Linked DNA regions of Schizosaccharomyces pombe. The gene in region 2 interacts genetically with the main gene of each other region. Each region holds a gene or a part of one and is shown on either strand. Other genes may lie near its edges.

Region 1 (6,446 bases), 820 kb from region 2:
TAGGTATGTAGTATGCCTATCCTTTTAAATATTCACTTTCTTTGTTCTCCATTTTTCCTATCTGATCAGTTTAATGCACTCCGCAAACTTTCGTAAACACATTTAAGCTATGAAAAGCGAACAAATTGTTTGACTGCACCTCGAAATCTAAACCTTTAATTCTTAGTTTATTTGCTAACTAGCCCAAAACGTCCAATTGCGTCCTATATTCTCGTTTTTTTCACTCTATTAGCTGTTTCAACTTCCTACTGCATATAGTAATTTTTATTATCTTAAATAATTTAGTAACATCTTTGTACAGCAATACTGCGAAATAGCGTTCTCCTAAGAATCCCATAGTAAGGCACAGATATGCACACTATTGTTAATTGATTCTCTTACATGTCATGTCATTTTAATAAAGATAGCCAGATTTCTTTGTTTTAAACAACAAAGAAAGTGGATTCTCCCCATTTTTATGTAATTGATAATAATCGTTTTGCGAAATGATTTGCTAGTTATATTTAAGTTTAGCCTATTAATAGCATACGCTACCTCGTCTATTGATGAACACTTCTATTGATAGGTTTCGCTTAGCGGTTGTCCACTCGATTTGTCTTTGTGAAGGAGCATTCGGGTACACATATTTCTGTACCTGTTATAAATAACTTGCCTAGCTGTTACAAACATACATATATATATATACCTTTGAATTCCCATTCACAACCTCATTTTCCAAGTATGTTCTCTGACTCTTACTCAAGGTGAAATCTTTGTGGATCGTAGACAAAATGTAGCTTAAGAAAATCTGGTGATTTCTGCAGTCTTATTTATGTGAATAATTTTGTTCGCCTACTCCGGTTTATTCAAACCAAAAAAACTCTGTCAAAAAAAGGCATCATTTTTTGCTTGCTTTAAATCATTTGCATTATCGTTGAATATACCAATAGAAAAACCTAAGCGTTGTTAAATGAATAAAACGACACTTCTGTATGAAAGCTTCGTTGCTTCCTATATTACCATGTTTCAAGGAGATTCGTTGATATACATGGATCAAATTTAGGAATTGCCGGATAAAGCTATGTTCATTTATCCTATTGAGAATGCAAAGGTCCTGATAGTAAATTTTTTTTTTCACCTGAAATTACCGTTTTTCAATTACCTGAACGAATCATGCTTTAATGCTCTCCATTAAGCATCAGTGCTGGATATTAGTTTTGGGAGTACTTCCGCAAAAACGGATCGAAATCCATGTTTCCGTCTGTGTGCTAGTCGTCAATCGCCCTGATACCGATCAACTACTCCAATAGTTAGTTGCTTTTCCCAGCGTCCAGCAAATTGAGCTAGCTAGCTGTCAACTTAATTAGAAGCAATTGTGACGACCATTTATCATTAAACAGAATTAAAATGCACGATATTGCAATTCTTTGTCTCTAGATGCAAAACCTTCAAAAGGAACGGAATTAAGTTAGTTCCGTTTTTCGTTAACCAGCGTCGTTGGTGACCGAAGTGCGAAAAGTTGCATAAACTTTGTTTTTTTTCTATTACAACATAATTTATTTCCAATTGTTTTAAAAACGTGTCTTTCAATGATTCAATTCTTCCCTACAAAATTTTTTTCTGGGAAGACGAATGTCAATTGGATAGGATTCCCACGTTCAAGTAATCGGAAGAAGTTTGACAATGAGCAACATGCATTCAACGATTATTGATTAAAATTCGGTGTTTGTAAAACGATCATAAGTAAGGAGAATTAAAACTGTGTCTATTTTTGGGAATTGAGAGATTGCTCCGTAGGCTTGGTAGACTAATGTTATTAACCTTCATTGTGTCTAGTCATTTTGGGATGCAGACTGTTCTGGATTATAATGCTAACCATTTGTCAATATCAAGAGACTTTCCCTAAATTTACATCCATGTACGATTTCGGTATGAAATTAAAAATTTCTGCAGTCACGTTCAGTTAGTCGCGCCTTTCATTACTCATTTTTTTCACTTGAAAATAAAATATCGCTAATTTTGAAAGCGCGCATGGAGTTTCACTCTTCCGACTTTCGCATCTAGTTTACCATAATTTTTAAGAAAACTGGTTTTACTGAGTTCATGAACGTTGTATTAAAAAGGCTTCAATTATCTCTATCTACTAAATGCAATGTAGAAGGTGGCAGGATTGCGCACGGACTTGTTTTACGATGCTTACGAGATATCGCTTGACTTTTTGGTTCACGGTGGACTCTTTACAACAGCTGATTTTCCATTCCACTAAACGAGCTGATAGTTAAACTGTCCGCATCTTCAAGGATTTGCAAGGGTCAACCTACTATCCAACCTCTTTCTTGGTTTCCGTGACTGCTCTTTGCTGGTAGCAAATCGATACTGACTATGCTTTGGCCAAGCCGAGGTGCACTTGGTTGATAAAGGAAGAGGATTTTTTTCCACCAATTGCGGATATATTTTAACTTTTGGACCGAAACCAAGTGGAAATTCCCTCGATACTTCGCTTTTTATGGTTAAGCATGTTAAAACATTACTTCCTTACATTTTATTGAGTATTTAGCGCAAATGAATCACTGCGCTGGCGGATCTTACGTGGTGAGAGAGCGGCACTTTTGTTCATCTATCGCATGAAAATGCTGGCTGCATTACGCAAGGTCATGTGCTGGATTTTCTACCAGTCCTCAATTATCTGGCGGTTTTTAAATCGCAAAAGTATATAAACAACCTCGACTGTCATCGATTTCAACATCATTTGTACACGATCTTTTCTAACTGAAAGCGGTTGTTGAGTTTTCATTCTTTTGCTCATACAATTCGTTTACAATTGGAAGTTAATTACTACTTCCTTTTGTATTAGATTTTTTCTTAACTTTTACTTTTTTGGTTTTTTTCTTTTTTAGAGTTTTTTTATTCTTCTTGATTTTTGAAAACGCTTGTTTTATTTGTGTTTTCTATAGTCCTTTGTGTTCTTTTTTTTTGAATTGAAATTAATACCCGCCTTTCTTTTTCTTTATTCTCGTTAATTTTTTTGAAGTCACGATGTCACTTCTTGTTAAGGCTGCTTTGATTTTGAAATGTGCTAGTATGCTTCAGGGTGTTTCTGCACAGTATTTCTGCCGTGATACTACTTTCGACAAGAGAACTTTGGAGTCGGTTCGTTTCGAATCGGAATGTATTCCCACTGTTAACAAAAGGGACTTGGATCCTAATGCTGAAGGTGTCTACAAGCGGTCTTTTGACGGAAATATGAACCCTTCCGATTTCCAATTATTACCCCTTGCCCCTCGTGATGGCGCCATTGTCAACGTTGACAAGGAATCATTCAGCAAGCGTTCAACCACGAACATGTTTGATTTTAACTTTTCTTGCTATTTCGGTTCTGATGGCCATAGCAATGACACGTTATGTCAGCAATACATTGATGTAGCTGACTCCGTGGGTGAACAATTCTCACGTGTGCTTAACCTTAACACCCCAATTGTTATCGATGTTACCGTTGTTGGTGCTTGTACTGGCGAGTCTGTTTGTTCCCAGGGTCAAGGTATGGTAGCAGGCAGTATTGGCGGTGAAGCTTCTCCTTCTCGTGAAATTCCCATGGCTTGCAGTGATGGTTTAACTCGTTATTATCCTCAGGCTGTAGTTAAGCAACTTGGTCTTTCTGATCCTCCTTCATATGCTGACAGCGATATTACGATTGCCCTGAACGCTGATGCTAATTTCTACTTTGGCTCTGGTGATATGGGCTACGAAGCAGTAGATTTGGCTTATGTCCTTTTCCATGAAATAACTCATGGTCTTGGTTTCTCAACTGGATGGGGTGTATTCGGATATGAGAATCTCACTGATCCTTATATGAACGCTCTTTTACCCACTGTCTCATATGTTATTGGTGAAATGAATGGAGAAACTATGTATGCTTTCCATGATGTTATTGAGAATGCTTTTGACAGGAATATTTTTTATTCTATCGACCCTAATGAGGGATTACCTACCATTGCTGAATTTTTCCATAGTGTCGGTGCTGCATTTACCCTTAAGGCTGACTCCATTGCCGGTGTTGTTGCCCAGATGAATGATACAACTACTCAGTTCCATATCCAAGCTAACGAAGCTTACCGCAAGGCCATTAATCCCGGTAGATTGGTTATCTACCCTGATGCAGGCATTGACACCTATTCACCTTTTATTTACTTGGATTCTTCCTATGTTCCATTTTCATCTGGATCATCTTTGTCTCATGTAGCTCTTCATCATTATGATTGTGAGCCCAACTTTTTGATGCGTGCTTTCTATACTGCTGGCGCTACTCTTGAATCCTACATCGAGTGTGCTTATGGAAGTGATCAAGCCGATGTCGCTTACGGTCCCATCGGTCCTGCTATGCGTACTGTCTTCAGACGTATGGGCTACTCGGTCAACAACCTTACTGGTGTTACCAACGAATATAGCGAGAGCTTGGCTAAGAGATCGTTGTCTGAAAAACCCAAGACTGCTCCAACTGGTAAACAGCTTGCTCTTCATCCTTTGAGAAGAGAGACATCTATCTTGGATTCAACCAACACCACTTCTACTAATGCCACCAACACTACTACAACTACCTCATCAAGTTCAACTGCTTCATCATCTGCTTCTGCGTCTAGTTCAACATCCGCCACCTCTGGAGCAGCTGGTGATTTGTTCAGTGTTTCCAAGAATTTGATGATGACTTTGACTGCAGGATTGTGCTTGATTACTGCAAGTTTGTTTTAACGCGGTTGATTTTCAAATTGAATCTTCCTGATGTATATTACTATATAATAAAGCTTTAAATTAGCTGTTAGTGAGATTTTTATGATTTGGCCATCAAAGTCAATTAATTTTTATTGCTAGGAGATGATACTATTAATGACGATATGAAGCCTTGTTTAATACTTTGTTTTCTTATGCAAACGCGAAACACTAGTTTTATTTTGAAGATTGCTACTAAATTATAATTTTGGTTGATAACTGTATCAATATACCTTGCACATATTTCTATAGAATTTCGATCTGCCCTTTTGTTTGTTAAGTTATAAAAACATTTTATCTTTTTACAAGATACTTTACCCGAATTGTGTGATTATAATTCCGTTGCTTTTTAACCGACGTGATGATGTATATTTTATATATATGCCTCTATAATAGTGTTTGGGTCATTTGTCTCACTCAAATTTTCGTGTGTATTTTACAAACACTTAATATTTTTTTTTTTTAACTCTTTAATGAAGGGAATGCTTTCAGTTTTACGCGAACGAAATTTAATCGATTGATGTTTTTGTTTTAATCTTAGTTAAGTCGCTGTAAAAAAGTAGTGTGATAGAAGGTACTTTGTATGACGATAGAGCGGTAGATGCGATTAATATTGTGAGAGTGAGTTTTGTTACAATCGGATGACATGTGTAAAAAAATCCTATATACTAAGATTGATATGGTGATGAATTTAAAAATATGCATTTTTGTGAGTAAATAAATTATATTAAATGTGGGAAAGACATGTAAACACGGTAATGGAATATATAAATATATATATATATATATAATGTTTGCTAGCACATTTATTCACTATAATTGATGGCTGTATAAGAGACAACGGTTTTAACGTTTAAAAATCTTTCGTTATATAGAAATTGTCTCCGTCTTAAGCACTAACGATCGTTACGAGCGGTCCCGCGCTTTTGTCGTTGATCTGATTGACACAATGGGCGGCATTTGTGCTTCGATTATCGTCGTCATATGCTTGAATGGTGTGAACGCCAGATGTTAAAATGCAATAACCATCAGCAACCTTATCCGAAAGTAGTCATAGCCGAAAATGGGCTTTTCCAGCAGAATTAAAGAGGGAAGCGAATAAATCGGCTAGTAAATACTGTGGGTATAGTGATTGAGAAGACGACGTGGACTTTGTTCAATTCTTATCCTTCAGTAAAACACACACTCGAACAGCGAGTTCTCTCTGCTTCCATATAACGATTCGTTATTAGTAGCATCGAGTTTCTGGGCAATACTGTATATTTTGTTGATGCATTTATACGGTACGTGGATGAATGTCACTATATGGCTGTTCAATGGCTTATGAATGGATGGTTGCTATGGTTGTAAGGGCTTGTCAATAGTTGGAAAAGGAAATATAACGAATAGCATGCGTGCACGACGTTATAAAATCCGGCATAGCTGATTGGAGGGGCAACGTTATTCGTTTGTTATCCTTTTTTAAGACCAGCAATGTTCGGGCGTGCAGTATTAGAGTGCACCATACAACGTGGTAAAAACGAAAAGGACGTCATGTCATGGATCCATTGGTATTGTGAGGATGGAGAAGAGTGGAGCAAGGATTGGTGGATGTACAAACAAAGGAGGACGGGCAGGCAGAAAAAGAACCCGACGCCATTTGTTTTCTTTTTCGGGATGAGGAGATAGGTGTTTAATTAACTTAATCATCCTTTATTGCCTTT
Region 2 (6,446 bases):
AGACCATTCTAAAATACCAGAGAAAAACCCGGTACATTTTTCAAAAGTAGTATGGTAAAAGGATGCAGTAACAAATAACATCCACCACCAAAGTCCAAGAAGACCAAAAAGTACTTTAGTAGATGTAGCTTTTATTCCATTATTCAAAATAAATGAAAAGTTTTCAGACAACATAAACAAGCTCGAGTGAGTTAACAAGAAAACATGGCCCGAGAGATCATGACCACCAGACCAAGATCCGTTTAATCCCTTGCAAGTGGAGGCGGTAAGTGGAATGAACACAGATGAATCACCATCAAAGTTTTTGCAACTTCCGCCAGATAATGCAAAGGTTCTATCAATCAGGCCAGGTCCTATAAACCATTGGGTTACAAACATCCACCATAGAGTGGCCACTATATACCTTGAAATAAACTTGAAGTCAATTTTGTTTCTCTTTTGATCCCAAGCATGATAAAAATATACTAAAGAAGTCCAGAACCAGCCTCTTTTTACAAAAATCAAATTAATCAAATTTTTCGAGTTTCCAAAGTAAGAGGTAATCGACCATTTGTCAACATAAATGCTATAAATGCTACCTAGAAGAAGTGTAGTGGCATATATTTCAAACAGAAGTATATCTTTGCGACGAAGCTTCAATATAGAGGTTTCTTCATTCCAATAATGACTAGCAGTTTTTTCAGTCATTTTTTTTAAATAATTTTTATTAGGCAGACAACGTATACAAATTAAACTTAAAAATAAAGATAGAACGGTGTAGTGAAAAGCAATTAATTCATTGAAAGAGTTAAGGACATGTATACCCTGGGAAGTTTGGTGTAGTTACACCACCAACTTACGTGCGTAGACTAGAAAAAAAACGAATCATTGCCTCACGTTATAAGAGAACGAAAAGAAATAGTCCTTAATTGTGGATAATTAAATATACGAATTCTTTCGTTTTTTAAGTTGCCATATAACGCCTATTTTGCCTATTTTTGTTAAAAAGCTAGCAAGGCGTAAATCTATCATTTCTCGCTACGATTTGAGTATGCATAATCAAGCCAAAATTATTTCTGTTAAAAATGTTAAACCCATAAAATTACTATAAAGGAGGTATTTGTATAAAGAAAATTAGAAAAACCGTTAGCAATTAATAAAAAGTATATATTATTATGACTTTCCTATTTATTTCATACAACAAGCGAACTGGAAGACAGTTAGACTCATAATATTTTGCCATTAATCAGATTATGCATTCTCCAATGTAAAGAAATTTAGCATAAGAATTTTCAAACAGAATTTATCAACTTACAGTGCTAACATATGACACTATTTCTTCTAATCAGACCAGACTTGACGAAGGAACTCTTCCATGTCCACATGAATTCTCTCAAACGCTTTAACCCAAGGATGGGTAAGCATTTTTTGGGGTCCAGGACGACGAGTTTTGTCTTTATCCAGACACACGCATAGAAAATGTTGAAAGGATTTCGACCATTTAATACCGGGTTCTTGAGGTAAAAGGGGAGGTGGCATATTTATTATATACGAGAGCAATTCAATAGGCATTGGTGGGGGGCTACCCTCGGGAGGGAATGGAAACCGGTTTAATGCGACCTCCATCAATGTTAAACCCAAAGACCATATATCTGACGATATAGTATAAGATCCCCCAGAAATTCGTTCAGGCGCCATGTAATACGAAGTTCCAGTGAATGTGCCAGCGAGAGAGTTAACCAATTCTCCAGATACACCAAAATCGCATAACTTCACTTGACCTTTTGACGTCAGAAGGATATTTGATGGCTTAATATCACGGTGTATTATTTTCCTGTCATGTAAATAGCTTAAACCGCTAAGGACACCGAATGCAATCTTGCCCAATGGTCGTTCTCCAGTGCGTCCACCTTGACTGCGTACGCGTTTGTATATCGCGTCGAGAGATCCTGCTCCGCAATATTCCATAGCTATGTTTAACTGACACTCTGCGTTATTGTAGCAAGCGCCATAATATTTAACGATGTAAGGAGAGGTACAACTTCTGTTGATTTTTAACTCTCGAAGGAGTTGCTTTTGTAAAGCGGTATTCGGAGCAGCTAATACAGTTTTCATAGCGAAAATCATCTGAGTCCCACGAATTCTGCATTTCCTTACAGAGCCACTAACACCTTCACCTAGACTGTTCATGTACAAAATACCTCCATTTGTAACCAATTCATGTAGGTGATCATCATCAAGTTCTTCCAGAAAGGAAGGAACAAATGTTTTACTATCCCGGCTCTCCTTTCGCTGAGTTAATTTCGACTCGCTAGAAAACACCAGGTCTGTAATCTCGACAATTCCTTGATTGTCATTACGTTCAGGATGACTTATATATTCTTCAGAGAACCCATTACTGGTATCTAAGTTCAAGACAGGTTTTTTGGACATAGAGGCATGGGCGCTTTCTTCGATATTTTTTCAATTTGTAGAAAGAGTGACAAGAGATGACTGATACCAAGTCCAAAAGTTTGTTTGTATTTTTAACAAACTTCAATTTTTATTCTTCTTTTCCAAAAACGCAAGGAAAGTAAATTCTAACGTATGGTCTTCCCGCTAAATAAACCTACCAATTATAAACTTTTTTGAAGTTTTTGCTTCCTGAATTAGAAAATTAGAGGATAGCACTATAAACGGAAACTTTGATGGAAGAGTTAATTCCTCGCAAACAAACAACCGAGGCCTCTATTAGAAGAAATCGTATAGTTTTCGGAAGCTATACTAAATACGATTGACCATTATTAGTATAACCTACATTTCTAAATTAGGACTTCACTAAATAACTTATGGACTTAGCTATGTAGATACGTTATTTTAGAATTAGTGAGACCTTTGTTAAAACGACTTCGGGAATTGTTCATTACGAGTATAAGTTAATGTAATTATGAGACTATCATATCCTGTGAGCTTTCTTCTTTTATTTACTATAAATGTCTACCTCTAAAATTATAATTAATTTTGTTCAAGGAAAACATAAAAGAATATATTTATCATTGCATGATTTTCTATGGCTTATAATAACTACATACAATCCGTTAACTATTATAAGAACACGATTAACTACGTAAAGTTCAAATATTGTGTTTTGCACGTTGGTTTACCGAAAAAGCACTAAATAACTTACAAGCAAACTGAAGAAATTAGTTTGAGTTCTATCTGTACTTATTTTAGAGAACAATAAAAACTTTATGTTAACCATATGAAGATTTTATCTGTGTATGTTGACCTAAAAGTCATTGAAAAATGTCGCATCAGCAATAATGTCTAAAGCAGCGTAATGTAGCGTAGCGTGTTAATTTTGCAGTAAGGGCAACAAGTTGAATCCCAATAGTTTGGTTTGACAGTACAGTAACCATTATATTTAATTTAAATAAAACCCTTACATCGGGGAGAAAACATGTCAGAACATACAAGAAAATCATTCTCTGATTTAGGAATATCGCCATGGCTTATCGATACGCTAAAAGCACTTGCAATATATGAACCTACAGATATTCAGGAAGGAGTAATTGCTCAGATTTTAGAAGGTATGCTTACAAAAATTAATAAAGTAAAATTAAGTGTAAAATGTGCCTAACAAATAAAAATTTATAGGACGTAATTGTATTGGAGGTGCTAAAACAGGTTCTGGTAAAACTGCTGCTTTTGCTTTGCCTATTATTGAAAAATGGTCTAAGGATCCATCAGGAATATTTGCTCTTATTTTGACACCAACCAGGTATAAAATATAACATTATTGTACTTTTTCTTAAAATTTAAATTAGTATAAATGTTAACTATTCTACTACAATTAGCTAACTCGAACAGAGAACTTGCAATACAGATTGATGAACAATTTGCTGCTTTAGGTGCTAATCTTAATTTAAAGCATGCGCTCATCGTTGGAGGCATGGATATGATACGACAATCTATTGATTTATCGAAACGGCCCCATGTTGTTGTAGCTACTCCTGGTCGCCTAGCTGACTTGATTAGAAGTAATGGTGAAGAAACGATAGCCGGACTACGTCGAATAAAATTTTTGGTAATGGACGAAGCCGACCGTTTGTTGTCTCCTACCTTTGCTGATGACTTGGATGATTGCTTTTCTGTTCTTCCAGCCTCTGAAGATCGTCAAACGCTTTTGTTTACTGCAACTGTTACTGATGCTATTCGTCAGCTCAAATATCAGCCACAGAAAAATAATAAGCCTCCCCTTTGGTTATACGAAGTTGAAACTGATAACATTTCCGTACCTTCTACTTTGCAGCAAAGTTACATATTTGTTTCCTCACAAGTACGAGAAGCTTATTTGGTGCATTTGTTAACGATTCCTGAGAACGCTAAAAAGTCTGCAATTATCTTTGTAAATCGGACTCGCACTGCTGAATTGATATATTCTATTCTTCGATTGCTCGAGCTTCGTGTCACCGAACTTCATTCAGAAATGGTACAACGTGAAAGGATCAATTCACTTGGACGGTTTCGTGCGGAAGCTGCAAAAATTTTGGTAGCCACTGACGTTGCAAGCAGAGGTTTGGATATTCCTTCTGTGCAACTAGTAATTAACTTCGACCTTCCTCGTGACCCAGACGACTATATTCACCGAGTAGGTCGTACAGCTCGTGCTGGACGCAGTGGCGAGTCCATTTCCATTGTAACGGAGAGAGATGTTGATTTAGTCCATGCTATTGAGGATCGAGTAGGAACTAAGCTTTCTGAATATGAACACGTGTCAGAGAATAAGATGCTTGAATACATCAAGGAAGTTACGGACGCTAAACGCCAGGCTTCTCTTGAGATGATCGATAGGGGATTTGGTGAAAGGAGACAGAAGCGAAACGAGAAAAGGCTGATGGCCAATGGTATTTCTAATAAATTAAAAAATTCTGGACGCAAAAAGAAAGCGAAGAATACTTTATCTACGGAAAAGTAGTATAAAAGTTTTGAAGTTCAAGGTTGTTTTAGTGGTTTAAGGTATATATATATACGGATAATAATATTTAAATTTTGTTTACTTAAAGGAGGTTGCGGTTTTATTGACCACATTAACTATCAAATGTGACGATGAAATAGATTTTATAACAAGAATGCAAAGAATGTGGACATTGCGACATTGTGGAAAAATATTTTTTATGGACTAATATTTCTCCCTATTAATTTTGATTCTAAATATTCTTAAGTACAGGTAATTGTTTACAAAGCATCAATCTTCCTAGACCGTTACCGTAATTTGTGGATACCACGGTATATTAGAACCCAATGGCCTTTATGATATAACTAACCAACATTATAAAAGCAAATCTGCCATACCCAATTCGTTTCTTTCTTTTAAATAATCTCTAATCATATGAATAAAAAGGATAAGAAGTTTAATTACATTTTTGGGTCAGAGATTGTTAATGATGTAAAAAAGCGATTACCTTATTACAAATCTGACTGGATTGATGCATGTCATTATCGAGTACTTCCTGCTTGTTTAAATATTTATTTTTCAAAGTATGTGCGTTTCAAATATACATTTATCACAATTGACATTTTATCGTGCTTTTTCTAAACTTGCTAGCTTACTCCCAGAATTAGCATTTGCCTTAGATATGTTTGCAAAAACAAATAACAGTTTTGGGGTGAATGAGGTTTTACTTGCCAGCGTTTTAGGTTCAGTTGTTTTCGCGTTGCTTTCTTCGCAGCCTTTGTGCATCGTCGGGGTTACAGGGCCTATTACAGTCTTTAATTATACTGTTTACGATATAATGCATGATAGAGGAACACCATATTTCCCTTTCCTTTGCTGGATTTGTCTTTGGTCAATGATTTTTCACTTCATCATTGCTATAGCAAATGGGGTTTATTTTGTAAAGCATATGTAAGTTCGCTTTTTGCTTTTATGTTCTTGTGATATCCAGCTAATTGAAAACTGTAGCACAAAATTCAGCTGTGAAATTTTTGGCCTATATGTTGCGTTTATTTATTTGGAAAAAGGCGTTCAAGTTCTTTGTGACCAATTAAAGTATGGGCTTACAAATACATTTCTGTCAATTACTATTGCTTTATTATTTTTAATGGTGGGATGGCTTTGTGATACAGTAGGAAAATCTTCTTTATTCAGTTACAAAGTACGTATTCTACTTCTTGATTACGGACTTGTTGCATCCATCATTTTTTTCAGTGGGTTTCAGCACATTGGGAAAATGCGGGAAGTTTCTTTAGCGAAACTTCCTACAACAAAAGCTTTTGAACCCACGTTATCTAGAAGCTGGTTTATAAAATTTTGGAAAATACCCGTTGGGGATGTTTTCCTGGCAATTCCTTTTTCTATTGTTCTCACTATCCTATTCTATTTTGATCATAACGTTTCTGTATGTATTGTTTAATTTCCTTTTTTTAACATTAGTAGTCTGTAATGGCACAAGATCCTTCGTTTCCATTAACCAAACCTGCTGGAT
Region 3 (6,446 bases), 3.8 Mb from region 2:
ATCTTAGCTTTGCAGTAGTTTCAATACTAGCTTTATTTGCTATTAGCAATGATTTTAAAGCTTGGGTTAACATTTTTTTTCACACGTCCATTCTATGAGCAATAATGTAATGTACTTATAATTTAACCATTTCCAACTTTAATTGTAAATTCATGAATGCTCAAGTTAGTACGAATCGTAAACTCGGAAATTTACAAATTTCTAACGATTGAAGGAATGCTTTATATCAACTAAAGACACCGTGTTGCTGATAAGAAGGGACATCATTTTAACTGGGAATAAGAATAGATACTGATGATGTTGAATAAATATTCACAACCTCATATTAAGTTTAGTAATAATAACAAGGAAATAGCATAAAAATAGAATAATGAATTAGAAAATAACACGACGCACAAATTTCACTCAATAACAATGACAAATGACATGAAAACTCTAGTTTTTTTCATTGGTAAACAAACCGACCCAGAACCAAAGACTAGAAGTAAAAAACTGAGGTAAATACAAATTCGCAACATAGAACGATAAAACATCTGCAAGCTAAGTATTAAACAAGAATTATAACTATACATTGGAAGCGAGCAATGCAAACTGTAAAAAAGTCCATGACGAATGATATGAATAACTGACGAGCGACCCGTAAGTCTTCATAATAAAGTGGATATTTTTTAAAAGCAGCTGATAAGCTTAGAATTAAGACCCATAAGGAAGAGTATAAAAACCAACTTACAACGGAACTTGAATAGACAAAATTTCCCTTTTTTTATGTATTTATAAATAATTGGCATTGTCAAGAAGCATCATTACTTATACTGCCGCTACTTCGAGTTCTTCGAAGATTTGTGAACATACTTGACTCAGACGTGGACGGGCTAACAAGAGGCAGTTGTGCACTATGAGGCTTTTCAGGGAAAAGCAAATTACCTTCAGATTTCCTTTTGGATTGTTTCAAGGATGACGATTGATAGGGACCTTGACTAGAATTTTTACGAATAATTTGTTGATATTCTGAAAGCTGAAAAATCAAAGACATGTTGGGACCTATCCATGGAGATCGTTCTTTAACGTACTCATAAGCATCAGAAACATTTAGGTTTAATGTCTTCATTATAAACGCGATCATCAAACAAGCAGAGCGAGAAATGCCCATTTGACAATTAATTAAAACCTTTTTGTTAAGTTGCATGGCATTGTAAGCTACAAAAGAAACAAGCTTATCAAGTTCCAAAGCAAACTGTGTATCATGATCCCAATGAATGTGAACATATTCGATGTGATCAAATACTTGAATGTCCAGGTTATGTTTAGAATCTCTATAATGACGGCCATCAGTGCGAAATGGATGCAAAACTTCCTTCGCCACGTTTATAACAACATCAAAAGATTGAATAATGGGCATAGTAGGTTTGGCATATAAGTAAATATTTGGGGGATAGATACAAACAGGGCCATTGGGGTACGGCTGATTAGAATTGGGTTTAGATGCTTTCGGGAAAGATGGAGGGACAGGACACGGAGTAAACAATTGTGAATGACTAGCTTCCTCTTCGTTTTCCAACATATTTTTGTGGGAAACCAGGGGAAGTTGGGAGGTGTAAATTTTTAAGGGAGGTAGTTTTTGAGACATTCTCAAAGGAAGTTTTGATCGAAGCGGTTGTAAGGAAGACTCTTTTCGTTCTATATTTGTTGAGGACTTCAATGCACGTCCTTTCGTTTCAATTTGCTCTTCTGCATTTTCTTTCGCTGATTCAGAATTCATTTTGTGAGTTACCTTCAAACATTCATGGCACCAATAACCATTTCAACTTAGCTTCCTCTATAATATTTAACTTGCAAGAAGATAACTGGAGAATACAAATTTTCAGTGTTCTAATAATTGATGATAGACTGAAAAGATGTATGGAAGTATTGTGAGCTCCTACCAAGCTACAGCATTTGATGCTTTTCTACAGGTGACAGAGGTAACGCATTTTAACAAGTTGGTAAACTTGAATATAGAAAGATACTAAAAGTAAATACAGTAACGAGTTAAATTATCTGATTCATTTTATAAATCAGGTGCGAAATAAAGCTAATTAAACACAATGTACCATTTCGTCTTGCGAAGAAGACATCCACTTCCCAAATCTAAATTATCGTATATGGTTAAATAATGAAAAGATCTGCACTGAATTATCAATTTTAAAAAAATAGCATTGATGAGAAGATGAACAAAACCTCAAATTTTAAGACGTTCTCATACTATAAAGTTTGAGCAAGCAATGCAGCAAATAGAGATGCAGCCAGATCCAATAACATTAAAATAGACGTCCTAGTAGGATTAGCAACTTCTTAAAGAAATGAGCGATATAAAAAAAATAAAAACTTGTACGAGAGGGACGACAAATTAAATGATAGCACTCCTCAATCAATGTTTGTATGAACTTACATGTATGAGAAGAACCTGATTTACTTGATAAACACAAAGAAAAATTGATTCAAAATTAAACTTGTAATAGGCCGAACTAGGGGGAAGGAGTGTCTTGAAGAGAAGGAAAAGACTGTGATGCTGGAGACGCCCTCTGGGGGATAATAGGATGAGCAACTCGCAAAGACGTTGGTGATGGATGCAAGCTCGATTTGTTTGTAGAATTCGAGACATGACGGGTTGATGGATCGCTACGGTACCGGAAATGAGATGCAGCACTATACATTTGAGAAGGAGGAGTAGAATGTGTATGAATTTTTGAATGAAATCGGGAATCATCAGAAAAGAGAGTTGTTCTAACATTATGATGAGAAAGTTCATTTGATTGAAGATCAACTGATGGAAAGGGGTCATTTAAATGCAGAGAAGGCCTACCATAACTATCAGAGGCCATACGTTGTGGTGAAGAATCAACAGAACTGGTATAATTCAATGGTGGTGTATGACGGACAAGATCTAAAGAGTTTGAGCTTTCCTGTTGACTCAAAATAGATGCATCGATCGCTTCTTGCACCAAGCCAAGACACAATTCGGCAAGGCTTCGGCATAACGCATCCACCACACTCGATGGAGAGGTGTTTACCAAGGTGATTGCATGGTTTACAGCTTGCTCTACGGGCTTTAAAATGATGGGCGAAGGATGATAAGTGCGAAGCCGCATAAGAGCCGTTTGCATCGTGCTTAGCGGCGCCGGTGAGTGAGGTGAATGAGTAGAGGGTAAAAGAGAAGGGTAACTGTTAGGAGAACGATATGGACTAAGATTGTTATGATAGCCTAAGTAGGAAGAGGGTCGCTCACTGAGTTGAAGCTCTACTTGATTTAAGCGTTCTCGGAGATTTTCAAGCTCCTGAAGCACAAGGTTATTATCTGCAGTCGATACTTTTTCCAAAGACTTTTCAGAAACAAATTTCGCTGCTTTATGCTCCTGTATAGCATTATTAGACTTCATTGAATTCACGTTTGCATCCGCCAAACTCGGCCAAGACGGCGAGTAAAGAGGATTTTCATCTTTTGTAAAAGAGACCCCATTGTCTAAATAATTATTATCGCTATACATGGAATCTTCTAAAGGTTCTGTCATTAAAGATGCGGATCTCATACCAGCGCGCCATGGTGAACCTCTTGGAGTAGATTCGCGCGAATTTGAGGATAATTGATTAGCAGAGGCTTCATAATTAAGAAAAGGATCCTCTGCCACTTCCCTATCAGACTGGTAATTATGTTCAGACATGCGAAACCACCAGCAAGACGCTGGAGGATTAGAATAAACAGTTGCAAGACCAAGCTCGAATTTGCAAGAGATTCTTGCACTCTTGAAAGATAAAGAGTTGAAAGCACGAATTAACGAATAGAGTATGCACTCTGAAAACCTAACTTAACATACTGTCTTATACTATTTAAAAGTAATATTGCAAAACACAGCAACAAGACAGTTCGCTATTAGTTATCATAACGTATTTTAACGGGATCCACGAAGTTTTCCTGAATAAGCTTTTCCCACAGTTCGTTAGGATAACTTGCTAGTTTTTATTAACCGAAGCTTAATTCTAAGCGGCAACTTCGACTGTGCGGGCAAACAGTACGCTTCGTTACATGTCACTATGCTTTTTTAACTATTCCTAAAAAATCTTTAAATGCCTTTAACACACAATAATCGTTATTGTTTTTAGTGAGTGTATGGTTGAGATAGTTTGAAATAGGAACTACGTATTCTAAAATGCTACACTATTTAAGACAAATAGCAAAACATCTTTTTGTTGAATGAATGAATATATTTGGAAGAGTAATTGAGAAAATAAAGCATAATCCGAAAAATTAAAAAAGCACACCTAGTATATGACAACACTAATTTTCCAGTTGAGAACAATACAAAAGTCAAGATATCAATAACACCAGTGTGAAGCTACAAAATTACAATTTTTTTAATTCAAGCAAAACCAATTCGTCGAATTATCCTCTCAATTTAGACAATTACATCTTTAGTTACTGAATATACCTCAAGAACCAAATAGATGTGTTTTTTAAACAACATTAATAATTATGTACTACTGAAATTATCGTTAAAAACTATATAACGCAATAATAGACAATGCAGTAAAAAAGAGCGCTATGTAATAACAATTCCTCATTCCGCTTCGAGGGGCTTTCTAAATGGTTAAACTCCACTCAATTACCCTTGCTTAACTCCACGTTCTATCTCCACAAAATTCGGTAAAGTCAAATTAAGGATGATGCGACGACTCTCGGAATCCTTTGTTTATATCACGGTCCGACATCTTGCACTCTCCATACATGCTACATTAGTTATAAAAAAACAATGTCAATGCTTTCTACTTTACGTACTGCAGGTTCTTTACGGACGTTTTCAAGAAGCGCCTGTTACTCTTTTGTAAGTTGTGAATTGGCTCCTAAGCGATAAATCGCTGGTTTAAGCAGCCTTACTCGTCTTTTCATGATTATTTGATCGATTATATTAACAGAGTTATTTTTAGCAGAGATTTTCTTCAACGAAGGCTGCCGCTGGGACATATGAAGGAGTAAAGAATGCCAACGGGAACTACACAGTAACGATGATTGCTGGCGATGGCATTGGTCCAGAAATTGCTCAGTCTGTAGAACGTATATTTAAGGCTGCAAAGGTTTGTCGAGTCATCCGTCATTTAGTCATTAACGACTTGTATTGTAGGTCCCTATCGAATGGGAACGTGTAAAAGTATATCCTATTTTGAAAAATGGTATGTCAAGTATAAGAGAAGATGGTTGGATTTGTATGCAGTTTGGCCTTTCTTTTATACGTTTTTGTCAGCAATGCTTGTTCCTGCTTGTCAAGTCCTTCCATGTCTCCTCGAGATTATCGCGCACGAAAATCACGTTTACTAATTCGTTTAGGTACTACTACTATTCCTGATGATGCTAAGGAATCTGTTAGGAAAAATAAAGTGGCTTTGAAAGGTCCATTGGCAACCCCAATTGGGAAGGGTCATGTTTCTATGAACCTTACTTTGCGTCGTACTTTCGGCTTGTTTGCCAATGTTCGTCCCTGTGTATCTATTACGGGATACAAAACACCTTATGATAACGTTAATACCGTTTTGATTCGTGAGAACACTGAGGGTGAATACTCAGGCATCGAGCATGAAGTTATACCAGGCGTTGTTCAATCGATTAAATTAATTACTCGCGCAGCATCTGAGCGTGTTATTCGTTATGCATTCCAATATGCTCGCCAAACTGGCAAGAACAACATCACCGTAGTCCACAAGGCTACCATTATGCGCATGGCTGACGGTTTATTTTTGGAATGCGCCAAGGAGCTTGCACCTGAATATCCTGATATCGAGCTTAGGGAGGAAATCTTGGATAACGCCTGCTTGAAGATTGTCACCGATCCTGTCCCTTATAACAACACAGTTATGGTTATGCCCAATTTATACGGTGATATTGTTTCTGATATGTGCGCTGGTTTAATTGGCGGTCTTGGTTTGACTCCTTCCGGAAACATTGGCAACCAAGCTTCCATCTTTGAAGCTGTTCATGGTACTGCCCCTGATATTGCTGGAAAAGGTTTAGCCAACCCTACTGCTTTACTGTTATCTTCTGTAATGATGTTGAAGCACATGAATTTAAATGATTATGCCAAACGCATCGAATCAGGTATGTGTTTTACTAAATTAAGATTTTGTCTGTTTACTAATTACCATTAGCTATCTTTGATACCCTTGCAAACAATCCCGATGCTCGCACCAAGGATTTGGGCGGCAAGTCAAACAATGTTCAATATACCGATGCCATTATTTCTAAACTGAAGTAACATGCCCATTTTGTTTACTTCTTGCTATGAACACTGAATTTATGTTTCTTTCCTTATCATGAGTTTTCTCTCCTAGCCGATTTTTGTTACCACTTTTAATGAATTGTGTAACGATTTGAGTTGTAATTCGGAAGCATTAACTCTTTTGTATCAAAAAACCGAATTGAT

The links.
Region 1: mutations in pek1 (region 2) and SPOM_SPBPB7E8.01 together harm fitness more than expected from each alone (negative genetic interaction), as found in Schizosaccharomyces pombe (one large-scale study listed by BioGRID).
Region 3: of pek1 (region 2) and pmp1, extra expression of one rescues a mutant of the other (dosage rescue), as found in Schizosaccharomyces pombe (2 studies listed by BioGRID).

Annotation. Positions count from the first base shown.
Region 1 is NC_003423.3:3,491,502-3,497,947, forward strand, and holds SPOM_SPBPB7E8.01 (uncharacterized protein), read left to right. Parts: upstream 1-2,720; 5' UTR 2,721-3,015; coding exon 3,016-4,725; 3' UTR 4,726-5,276; downstream 5,277-6,446.
Region 2 is NC_003423.3:4,308,729-4,315,174, reverse strand, and holds pek1 (MAP kinase kinase Pek1), read right to left. Parts: upstream 2,733-6,446; 5' UTR 2,413-2,732; coding exon 1,321-2,412; 3' UTR 1,035-1,320; downstream 1-1,034. Other genes in the region: fit1 (CoA pyrophosphatase (FIT) family lipid storage protein), read right to left, coding at 1-687; ATP-dependent RNA helicase Dbp8, read left to right, coding at 3,419-3,548, 3,616-3,739, 3,829-4,936; bor1 (HC03 family inorganic anion exchanger), read left to right, coding at 5,351-5,499, 5,567-5,866, 5,924-6,359, 6,398-6,446. UniProt on the Schizosaccharomyces pombe protein: Involved in the mkh1 signal transduction pathway that plays a role in cell wall integrity. Activates spm1/pmk1 via phosphorylation.
Region 3 is NC_003423.3:491,994-498,439, reverse strand, and holds the start of pmp1 (dual-specificity MAP kinase phosphatase Pmp1), read right to left. Parts: upstream 1,908-6,446; 5' UTR 1,628-1,907; coding exon 791-1,627; 3' UTR 1-790. Other genes in the region: gamma tubulin complex linker Mto2, read right to left, coding at 2,505-3,698; idh2 (isocitrate dehydrogenase (NAD+) subunit 2), read left to right, coding at 4,785-4,856, 4,960-5,106, 5,154-5,202, 5,357-6,121, 6,172-6,278. UniProt on the Schizosaccharomyces pombe protein: Dual specificity phosphatase that dephosphorylates MAP kinase pmk1 on a Tyr. Has a role in chloride ion homeostasis by inactivating this pmk1 MAP kinase pathway.